3 linked regions of the Canis lupus familiaris genome follow. The protein of the gene in region 3 interacts with the protein of the main gene of each other region in a pairwise test. Links are inferred from orthologs where the notes say so. Each region holds a gene or a part of one and is shown on either strand. Other genes may lie near its edges. The genes, in order: TRIM29, PQBP1 and LZTS2.

The links.
Region 1: the proteins of LZTS2 (region 3) and TRIM29 interact in binary tests that used the Homo sapiens proteins (3 or more experiments, as listed by UniProt). The two-hybrid records come from large-scale screens. The link is inferred for Canis lupus familiaris from reciprocal best matches to the Homo sapiens genes LZTS2 and TRIM29.
Region 2: the proteins of LZTS2 (region 3) and PQBP1 interact in binary tests that used the Homo sapiens proteins (3 or more experiments, as listed by UniProt). The two-hybrid records come from large-scale screens. The link is inferred for Canis lupus familiaris from reciprocal best matches to the Homo sapiens genes LZTS2 and PQBP1.

Annotation. Positions count from the first base shown.
Region 1 is NC_049226.1:13,878,899-13,882,643, forward strand, and holds the start of TRIM29 (tripartite motif-containing protein 29), read left to right. Parts: upstream 1-1,059; 5' UTR 1,060-1,210; coding exon 1,211-2,014; intron 2,015-3,745.
Region 2 is NC_049260.1:42,260,115-42,263,859, forward strand, and holds the start of PQBP1 (polyglutamine-binding protein 1), read left to right. Parts: upstream 1-1,475; 5' UTR 1,476-1,635; intron 1,636-1,901; 5' UTR 1,902-1,935; exon of another isoform or gene 1,936-1,939; intron 1,940-2,052; 5' UTR 2,053-2,070; coding exon 2,071-2,137; intron 2,138-3,630; coding exon 3,631-3,742; intron 3,743-3,745. Other genes in the region: TIMM17B (mitochondrial import inner membrane translocase subunit Tim17-B), read right to left, coding at 310-409, 1,279-1,304. UniProt on the Homo sapiens protein: Intrinsically disordered protein that acts as a scaffold, and which is involved in different processes, such as pre-mRNA splicing, transcription regulation, innate immunity and neuron development.
Region 3 is NC_049249.1:13,876,482-13,880,126, forward strand, and holds part of LZTS2 (leucine zipper putative tumor suppressor 2), read left to right. Parts: intron 1-132; coding exon 133-795; intron 796-1,329; coding exon 1,330-1,587; intron 1,588-2,407; coding exon 2,408-3,091; 3' UTR 3,092-3,645. UniProt on the Homo sapiens protein: Negative regulator of katanin-mediated microtubule severing and release from the centrosome. Required for central spindle formation and the completion of cytokinesis.

The sequences.
Region 1 (3,745 bases), on a different chromosome or scaffold from region 3:
GCAGGAATAGGAGATGGGGAGTAAGGAGGGCACTTGTGATGAGCACCAGGGGTTGTATGGAAGCACTGAATCCCTAAATTCTACACCTGAAACTAATATAACTGTATGTTAACTTTTAATTTAATTTTAATTAAAATAAAAAACTTGGTGAAAAAATAACTATTAAAAAAATATGAAAAAGAAGCTCCAATTAAAAAAAAAAAGGCCCAAGGGCCACATGCCATCTCGCTAGGACTGCTGGGACAGGCACGACTTCTAGAAGGCATCTTCCACGGAGATATTCGGGTGGCTCTGTGATATCCAAGCCTAAGAAGGAACTTTGGCAGCTCAGAGGTCTCGGGTTCAAATCTCAGAATCTACTACTTGACTGAAGCCAGTGAGGCAGCTTGTTAGAGCTTCGGTTTTCTCATTTGTTAAATAGGATAACCGAACAGGTTGTGGTGGGGATGAAATGAGCCCCCTGTAGGTGACGTGTGTAGGACAATGCCTGGAAGTCGGCAAGTGGGGTTCAGTAATCAGTAGCGATTTCACTGCACGTCCTGCAACCGAAATCAAACCGAACCCACCTTTCTCTGTAAGGGAACCCCACTTGTCCCAGGGTTGGAAATCTCTCCTCTGAAATCCGGGCCTGCAAATTATAAGGCTATTCGGCTTGTGTGACCCAATTAATAGCCTTCTGTCCCGTGGGCCTCTGCAGACACCTCACCTTTTGCCCCAGGGGCCCTTTGGCTCAGCGAAGCCTGCCCACCCATGAGGACAGAGGCTCCCCTACTTCCTCAGGAGAGGAAAGTGCGCCAGGAGGAAGCAGGCCGACTGGTTGCTGAGCTGTGGAAAATAATTAAACCAGGAGAGGGGAAAAAAAAAAAACCCAGGTCCTTTAGAAATCAGGTTGGGTATGAATGCGTAGGGCGTGGCCCTCCCGTATAATTAGCCGCGCTGCTGGCTCTGGGAGCCGCCTGCCCTCCCCGGCCGGCCCGTTGTGTCAGGCTTGGGCCTGCCCTCCCCTCCTCTCCTCCTCCTCCACCCCCTCCTCCACCCCCTCCTCCGCCTCCTCCTCCTTGGCCTCCTCCTCCTCCTCCTCCTCCCTGTTCCCTATAGGTGTGTCTCCGGGCTCTGGCGACCTGACCCACTCCCCGCGGAGACGCCAGCCCGAGAGGTCACCCTCCTGCAGCCCCAGCAAGTCCCCAGCGCGCCAGCCGAGTGACGGGCCATGGAAGCCGCAGATGCCTCCAGAAGCAACGGGGCCAGCCGGGAAGCCAGGGATGCGCGCAGCCCGCCGGGCCCCAACGGGCCCCTGGAGAACGGGGCCAAGGCCGAAGGCCAAGATGCCAAGACCAGCAACGGGCACTGCGGGGAGGCGGCCGAGGGCAAGAGCCCGGGCGGCGCCCCGAAGCCAGGGGAGGGCAAGAGCTCCCTGTTCTCGGGGAACGAGTGGCGGCGCCCCATCATCCAGTTCGTCGAGTCCGTGGACGACAAGGCCTCCAGCTACTTCAGCATGGACTCGGGGGACGGCAAGAGGTCCCCGTACGCCGGGCTCCAGCTGGGGGCCGCCAGGAAGCCGCCCGTCTCCTTCGCCGAGAAGGGGGAGCTGCGCAAGTCCATCTTCTCGGAGCCCCGAAAGGCCGCCGTGTCCATAGTGGAGCCCGGGGAGGCCCGGAGGAACAGCTACCCCCGGGCCGACGGCGGCCTCCTCCTGCGCCCCAAGTCGGGCTCCGAGGAGGTGCTGTGTGACTCGTGCATCGGCACCAAGCAGAAGGCCGTCAAGTCCTGCCTGGTGTGCCAGGCCTCCTTCTGCGAGCTGCACCTCAAGCCCCACCTGGAGGGCGCCGCCTTCCGCGACCACCAGCTGCTCGAGCCCATCCGAGACTTCGAGGCCCGCAAGTGCCCCCTGCACGGCAAGACCATGGAGCTCTTCTGCCAGACGGACCAGACCTGCATCTGCTACCTCTGCATGTTCCAGGAGCACAAGAATCACAGCACGGTGACGGTGGAAGAGGCCAAGGCCGAGAAGGAGGTAATTCGAGGGGGCATCTTCTCCACTGGGGGCTCCCGAGGGGGCGGGCCTCGCGTCTCCACTGTCCTGGGCTCTTTCAGAAGACACTTCTCGCCCCTCTGCACCCGCAGGCTGGAGTGGGGAGGGGGGGCTGGTCAGAGGCGGTTCCCTAATCCTCTAAGGCCTCAGGACACAGGGGCATTGCCTAGATGAGCAAACGGAGGCCTGGAGATGCCTGGGCGCTTGACCAGGGTCCTAGGAAATATTCAGGTCTGAGCCGAGAATCCATCTGGGCTCAGTGCTGAGCTCTGTGTCTGGCTGGAGGGTTTCTCCTCCTCCTCCTCCTTCTTCTTTTTAATTCTAGGGAGACTGAATTCTTACCACCTGAGCCGGACTGCCTGCTGGGGCAGGGATCATGCATGAGGAGGAGGGAATTTGGGGGCCACTTAAATGCTCTTTTTTTTTTTTTTTCCTGGCTTTACAGTCTGCATTTGCAGTACAGTGGCTGCTTGTTGCTTACTTGATCCCCTGGCCAGTCCCTTGACTTCCCCAATGGCCTCCTTCGTCCCTTTCTTTCATTGGGCTGTGTGTGGTCACATGTGTGTACATCTGTGCCTGTATGTGGACACACTTGGGGAGGGTTGCTGTCTGTGGGTGGGTGGGCTGTCCATATACGTGTATGTGCTTCATATACATGTGGGTGTTTGGCGCATACATTTGTACGCGCGATATGCAAGTGTGTTTGCATGAGTACTGCCTGTGTGATCCTGCCTTGTACCTCCGTGGGGAGGAGCAGAGGCGTGTGGAGACTTGTGAAAGTGTTGCACACGGAGAAGGTGTTCTGGGCCAAAGGCTCAGCTGTGGTTGCTGCCCCTTGCTGCACAGATGCTGGGCCCAATGTCCCACGACAGCCACGCAGCTGGCAGTCATGGGCACCCCCACCCCTCTGCCGGGGCGAACCTCCTGGTGCTCACTGTGGGACACTTGGCCTTCCTCAACAGCTTCTCAACCCATCTGAATAGGGCAGCCCAGGACCCCTCTGCGCCCAGTCTTCCTGATGGAGAGTTGGCTGATTACTCTCTTATGGTGCCCCTCACCCACACTCTGGGCAGAAGGAGATGGGTTACAAGTGGGATAAGACCCAAAGATCCTTTTTGGGAGTCTTGTTTAGCCCAGGAAGGTGTTCCCACTTCCTGGATGACCCCCAACCCCAGCCCGGCTTCTAGCCTTAGGCTGGGACACAGTGACAGGGCAGGGCCGTGGAACCCATCCTTCCGGAGCTTACTGGGGAAACCAAAACAGAACCAAGGGGCAATCATCTTCACTGGGTGCAACCAAAACAGTGCAGAGCCTCAGGCTGGTGTTCTGGGTCTCCCACCCAACCGAGTTCCAGCATTGGTTTTTACCTCTAGGTAGCTGTCGGACCACGGACAAGGCCCTTCCGTTCTCTCGGTCCTGGTTCCCTATGGTGTGGGACTAGATTGGTGGTCTTCAAACTCCGCCATGGAGTCCCTGGATTCTTGGAAATGTCAGGGATGAGGAGGGGGCAAATTGGTGCCAAGAAGGCAGTGGCTTCAGGTGCTCACTTCTACCACAAGCAATATACACTCTTGCATATCTGTATTTTTTTTTTAAGATTTTATTTATTTATTCATGAGAGACAGAGACAGAGGCAGAGACACAGGCAGAGGGAGAAGCAGGCTCCCTGCAGGGAGCCCGATGTGGGACTCAATCCCAGGGCCCCGGGATCAC
Region 2 (3,745 bases), on a different chromosome or scaffold from region 3:
GTTTCTGACCCAGAATCTGTCTCTGGGGAAAATCTCTCTGGCTTTGCGCATACATTTAGAGTTTGGTAATGACCGTTTTCACGGCACAGCATTTCCACAGAGGAGCTCCAGCTGGGTGGTGCAGGGAGAGGGACAGAGAGCCGTGTTTGCAGTTCACCCCAAACCACAGATCCTGGAGTCAGGCCTGGCACATAGTAGGCTAGCCGCACCGTAATGAGCGAGTTATGGCAGCTCCACGCAGTGTTCATCGCAGTATCCCATGTGGGCATGGCAGGACCCCCACACTACCCAGGGAAGGCCACGACTCACGACAGGGGCATTGCGGAAGCCCTTGATGGCCTGGAAGACTCCACCGCCGATGACACCCATAGTGAAGGCTCCACCGCAATCGTCCACAATTCGCCATGGGCTGCAAGCCAAAAGGGGAGGGTGGGTTAAGTGAGCCCCTCTTCCCCCGCCATGGTGCACGGATTCTTTCCAATTGGGAGAGACCAAGTCACCCGAATGGGAAGCAGCACTTCAAATAATGAGATTATTTCTCCCCTCGTCTGAGCAAGAAATGGTGCAAAAGGGGAAAAGCATTAGTCTTTGCTCGCCCGCCCCTCCTTCGAGGCCAAGCAAGGAATTCGCCAACTGCTTTACCACTATCAAAGACTAAATGAACTGATGAGACACGCAGAGTCAGCACCTTTAAGTCAGCGCTGTGAAAGTGTTAATTTGCTAGTACTGTTATTAAAGCAGGACGGGGTCGCACCTCCGTCCCCGACGATGAGCACGTCCAACCAAATCCCGTCTTCCCTCTCTTTTAACCGATCACAACTGGGAAAAACCAAGCGCAGGCCGTGGGGAGGATCCAGTCCGTCCGCCACAGGTTCACCCAGCCCCGCCCCCATCCACTAAAGCGACCTGGGAAAAGCCACGCGTGGTAACCCTGGGGATTTCCGCTCGACCCCGCACCACCCCCCAAGCTGGAATGGATTCGACCAGCGTGTCTCTTTTCCTCAACAAAGAGGGACGGGGGAGGGGATACGGAGTCTGAGGAAACGTTGAGTGGTTGGTCCCTGCACCGCACCTTCTCCGGGCTCACAGCTGCGGCCTCTCTTAACGGAGCCCGAGTGAGAGGAACGAAGCGGAGGGGAGCGGAAGGAGACCACAAACGTCTAAGAGTCTCCCGAGTCTGGGACGTGGCGCGGTGTGGCCAGCGCCTCCCCCGCCCGCCTCCCACAGCTGGCGGTGGCGCCGCAGCAACAGTCCCGAGGCCTGTGCCCATCGCCGTACCAAGGCTCCCGAGCGTACTCCTCCATGGCGCCGGCGTCTGGCCGCGCAGTCCGGCTAAAGCCCGGCCAGGCCACGCCCCCACTGTAAACGCACACAGGCGCCGAGCTGTCCACCTATTCCAGGCCACCGATTGGGTCGTGTTGCTGCTCATCAGGGCAGGGACACGCTCTCATTGGCCACCGAGTTTGCGTCATCTCCACTGCAGCCTGTGCGTCGCCCAGATACCTCAAGCGTCGGGGAGAGAGGACCTCTTTTGGTGTTTTGGGAGAAGGCCGTCGTGTGGTTCTCGTGATCCTAGCGGGGACGAGAGAGAGGTGGCCGACCTGTCAGCTTTCCACTGCTCGCGTGATTGCATTGGTAATGTCAGGGTGGGCGCATTTTTTGCAGCCGGAAGAGGTGCTTCATTTTGCTCCCCCGTCCCAGCGCTTTGGTTCCTCCCACCCAGCAGTCTTTGGGGGACGTTGGGTGAGCTCATTCCGGGAGCGCGGGGGAACTGAGCTTGGCCCCTTCGGCGGTGGGCGGAGCCTGGGCCTGGGCGAGGAACAGGGTCTTGGAACACCCAGCCTCGAGGGGAGGGTTGGTGAGAGTTTGGGTGTCATCGCCACTTATATTCCATCTTTTAGCCTGTAGGTTCCGTCTACCCAGCCATTGGTGCAGGTGGGTAAGTGAGGGATATATGCCGGGAGGAGGCGCTCGGTTTTAGGTCGGGATTTGAATCCTCACTTGAGCTGGGTTGTTTTTTGTGAGCGTGTCTGTTCATCCGTCTGTCCCTAGGTCTGCCTGTTATCCGCTATGCCGCTGCCTGTTGCATTGCAGACCCGCTTGGCCAAGAGAGGCATCCTCAAACATCTGGAGCCCGGTGAGTGAGCTAAAAGCGGTTGGGCCTACAATGTGCCTGGCTTGACAGGCACTTCGTTGTTGATACCGCCACTCGATACCTAGCGTGGGCCTACCGCGCATCAGTCAGTGGCGTGGCGTGTATTGTTAACGGTGTGGATTTCTGATATCCATTCCTACCGCGGGCTGGGGTGGGGGTGGGGAATACATGTTTCATCCTTAATATTGACAGTTAATGCCTTTTTGGGGTCTGTTGTATGCCACGCGCAATCCATCAGACGATCCGTGGAAGTTATTATAAAGTAGCTGACAGTAAGGAGAGCTGACATTTTCCCTAGACGGTAGGGGGGATGCGGATACTGGGTTCTTTACGCTACTGATCACATTATTTTAGACGTGTTGTGAGGCCAGGCACTATGTTGGTGATCTATACCTTATTGATCACCATATCAATTGCTGACATGTATTTTGGGTCTAGGTGCTTGGCATACACATAGTGGTAGAAAATGATGGTAGGATCTATCATTTCTACCTGCTGTGCTGTTCCTGCTAATATTTACACCTTATTATCGATCATGGTAAAAACTGGCATCTGTTTTGGGCTGCAGTGTGCTAGGCACTGGATTACATCTTATTTTCACCTTATTAATAAATGACATCTGTTACAAGCTACTCTGTGCCAGGCATATAGATCTTGTGGTTAATAATACTGGTAACAGTCGTTGCTAATTTTAAGCCTGTTGAGTACCAGGCCCTGTGCTGATGGTATATATCTCTTACTAACAATTCTGATGATTATAGCTAATACTCACTTTGGGCCTATTGTGTGACAGGCACTATGCTGTTGCTGACATATACATTTCATTGTCAGTTATGTCCACAGCCAAAATCTGTCATAGGTCTACTGAGGGTCATGTACCGAGCTGACAACATACATCTCTTTTATTCTACTGATAGTAACTGACAGCTGTTGTAGGCCTGCTGTATGTCAGGCCTCGGAACTGAATGGATGCGGAGCAGTGTTTGGATATATCCTTTCCCATCCAGACTTGCTACTCAATATACAGAATCAGAAACCCCATATTTACCAAGCTTGGGAGCTGAATAGATTTGGGCATTTTGTTTTTCAGATAAACCGCTTACTGTTCAAACTCATTTTATCCAAATAGATTGGGATAGCGTGGTGTCACATGCTTCCTGAACTCAGGAACTGGAGGATACATTTGTTTTGATGAATCCTTGTCTAAAATCTGAAACCAGATAGGTTTCGGTAACAGGATATCAAATCTCAAATCTTATCTGAACCCAGAAACAGAACAGATTTAGGTAAGTTTTTTGGCAAATCCCCTGATCTTCAGACACTTGGATTTGGAATGTGATATTTGCCATAGAAGGTGAGACCTGGCACACGCACACACATGGTCCATGTGAGTCTGAGCGTGTCTCCAGGCTCTGACTGCAGGATAAGAATTCCTCTGGTCCTTACTGCTTTCCTCCACCCTGCTATCCTGCCAGAACCAGAGGAAGAGATTATTGCTGAGGACTACGATGATGACCCTGTGGACTATGAGGCCACCCGGTTGGAGGGCCTGCCACCAAGCTGGTACAAAGTGTTTGACCCATCCTGGTG
Region 3 (3,645 bases):
CCCTCAGCCAGTGGTAGCAATTATTATTAATGTGTGGGGATTGGGGACCCCAGATGGGAGGGCAGGGAATATGATAAGGGCTTTGAAAGATTGGGCAGCTCATCCCCAGTGTCACATGGCACCTCATTTCAGAACATGGAGAAAATCCTGATCCGCCCAACAGCCTTCAAGCCAGTGCTACCCAAACCTCGAGGGGCACCATCCCTACCTAGCTTCCTGGGTCCTCGGGCCGCCGGACTGTCTGGGAGCCAGGGCAGCCTAACACAGCTGTTTGGGGGCCCTGCCTCGTCCTCTTCTTCCTCCTCCTCCTCGGCTGCTGACAAACCCCTGGCACTGAGTGGCTGGGCCAGCGGCTGCCCGTCGGGGACACTGTCTGACTCCGGCCGAAACTCACTGTCCAGCCTGCCCACCTACAGCACCGGGGGTGCAGAGCCAGCCACCCACTCCCCAGGCGGGCACCTGCCCTCCCATGGCCCTGGGCGGGGGGCACTGCCCGGGCCAGCCCGAGGGGCCCCTACTGGGCCCTCCCACTCGGACAGTGGCCGATCTTCCTCCAGCAAGAGCACAGGCTCCCTGGGAGGCCGTATGGCTGGGGGGCTCTTGGGCAGTGGTGCCCGGGCCTCCCCTGACAGCAGCTCCTGTGGGGAGCGCTCCCCACCCCCTCCTCCGCCCCCTCCCCCCCCTTCGGATGAGGCCCTGCTGCACTGTGTCCTGGAAGGAAAGCTCCACGACCGTGAGGCAGAGCTGCAGCAGCTGCGGGACAGTCTGGACGAGAGTGAGGTGACGGTGTGCCAGGTGTGGTCAGCAGCGATGACGGGGGTGGCGTGGCAGGACATCCACCGGAGCTGGGAGCCCAAGGAGCATCTCCCTGTGTGCTGTGGGGTGCGGGGGGGCAGGTGGGCAGGCCCAGACCCGGCTGTCTGGCTTCACCTGCAGGGCGGTGAGGGGTCTGAGCCAGCACCACCGTGTACCATCTTTCAGACTCGAGCAAGACACCTCACAGTACCGAGCCTCGCTTTGCTCAGCTGTAGATGGGGAGATTTCTGGCCTCCTAGGGTTCTTAGGATTAAGTAAGGTAAAAGCTTTGAAGTGCTTAGAATGACGCCTGGCACCTAGGAATTCCTACAGAAGTGCTTGCTCTTAAAGTTGTTTCTAGGATCCTAGCAGTGGTTGTGACTAGACCTACTGTAATTAGCCTCAGGGTTGAATGGAGTCTCCCGTCCCCGAACCCAGCCACAGGCCACCAGAGCAGTCGGTGACCAGGGAGCCATGGGCGGCGGGGAGGGGAGAGCCTCGCTCGAGGCACCCAGGTCCACCTTCTGTCCCCAGGCGTACGAGGAGCGGCAGCGGCCCTGGCCTCGGGAGCGTGAGGCACTGCGGGACGACGGCTTCACCCAGGCGCAGCGGGCACAGCGGGCCCAACAGCTGCTCCAGCTGCAGGTGTTCCAGCTGCAGCAGGAGAAGCGGCAGCTGCAGGACGACTTCGCGCAGCTGCTGCAGGAGCGGGAGCAGCTGGAGCGGCGCTGTGCCACCTTTGAGCGGGAGCAGCGGGAGCTTGGGCCTCGGCTCGAGGAGACCAAGTGGGAGGTGGGCCAGGCCAGGAGGGGCAGGGAGCAGGGCCTAATTGGGATAAGCCCCGGGCACAGGGGTCCAGCCTTCCTCTACCCTCAGCCTGCTACTCCCAGAGGCCCTCCTCATCCTCATCCACCTTGGTGAGATGAAGGTCCCCCTCAGACCTTCCTTTCTGGGCAAGGATCTCCTTGTGCCACCATTTGAGGTTTCCTCACTGGTCGAGTCAAGTGTTCATGGAGCCGGTGGCATTCCCATCCACTGCCAACCCCTCCACCCCCCCGACCAATAAGTCAGAATGTTGAGCCTGCTAGGCACCGGGCACTTTTTAGCTGTTACTTAGAGTGGATCTTTGATCCTCAGAACAGCCCTATGTGGTGGCTGTTGTTCACAGCCCCATTTCTTGAGATGAGGAACCGGGCCCAGAAAGGCTAGAGCCCACCATTATAGCTAGTCGGTGGCAGAGCTGAGATTTGAACCCAGGCTGTGTGGCTGCAATGTCTGCACTTTTAACCAAAACGCTGTGGTGTGTCTCAGGGGAAATGTGGGCACTGCCCTCAATTGCTCCCAGTCCTGCAAAACCTGCCACTGGCCTGTCCCCAGGGCTCTGCAGTACTCTGTGATGGTTTAAAATCACCTGCTTTGGGTCTGTATTTTGCTTCAGCCACTTATCAGCCATATAACCTTGGGCATGTCACTAGGCTTGTCTCAGTGTCTCCATCCACGTCATGGGTATCATGATCAAACAGCCTTTCCCCAAATACCCTTTGTGGTCTCAGGGCCTGACCCTCTAGGAGAACCCTTCTCACCATCCTTCCTGATCCCCTCCCATCCCTAGGTGTGCCAGAAGTCAGGTGAGATCTCCCTGCTGAAGCAGCAGCTGAAGGAATCCCAGGCAGAGCTGGTGCAGAAGGGCAGCGAGCTGGTGGCCCTGCGGGTGGCACTGCGAGAGGCCCGAGCTGCACTACGGGTCAGCGAGGGCCGGGCTCGGGGCCTGCAGGAGGCGGCCCGGGCTCGGGAGCTGGAGCTGGAGGCCTGTTCCCAGGAGCTGCAGCGGCACCGCCAGGAGGCCGAGCGGCTCCGAGAGAAAGCCGGCCAGCTGGACACCGAGGCGGCCGGGCTCCGGGAACCTCACGTGCCCCCTGCCACCGCTGATCCCTTCCTCCTGGCAGAGAGCGATGAGGCCAAGGTGCAGCGGGCTGCCGCTGGGGTCGGGGGCAGCCTGCGGGCCCAGGTGGAGCGGCTGCGGGCAGAGCTGCAGCGAGAGCGGCGGCGGGGTGAGGAGCAGCGGGACAGCTTCGAGGGGGAGCGGCTGGCCTGGCAGGCGGAGAAGGAGCAGGTGATCCGCTACCAGAAGCAGCTGCAGCACAACTACATCCAGATGTACCGGCGCAACCGGCAGCTGGAGCAGGAGCTACAGCAGCTCAGCCTGGAGCTGGAGGCCCGGGAGCTTGCTGACCTGGGCCTGGCCGAGCCTTCCCCCTGCATCTGCCTGGAGGAGATCACCGCCACGGAAATCTAGGGCCCTTGGCCTCCCAGATCTGAGGGAGGTCTACTGCAGGGGAGTGGGGGCAGGAGCCTCAGGTCTGCTGAGGTCCCCAAAGTCTGAGAGCCCCAGAGCTGCTTGTCCCCTGGGTTCCAGGCCTCTGGGCCTCTGCCAAGAACTTGGAGCTGCCCTGTGACCCGGATGGGCGAGATCAAACTCCTTGAAGGTCCCCGTTTCACTGTCACGCTGAGGCTCCTACTCACTTGACCCATTTCACCCCCACTTCTACTGCCATTGCCAGTCTGCCAACAGCATTACTCCCCGGATGCCAGGGGGCTGGGAAGAGGAGGGGGCTCCCTCATCTCCCTCATTTCCACACTCTTCCCTACCCCAAAGCCAGAGAGACCCAGACTGCGCCAGCTGCTTCAGATGTGCCTGCCCCCACCCTGCCCGTGTCGGGGGACAGGGCTGGGACTGGGGTCTGATCCCCAGGCTCCAGCTCTGCAGCCTCTCTCCTGGAGTGAGGGGGCTGTAGTCAGACCAAAGGAAGAACTCAAAATTGTCTTGTTTATTTGTGTTTGTGACCAAGT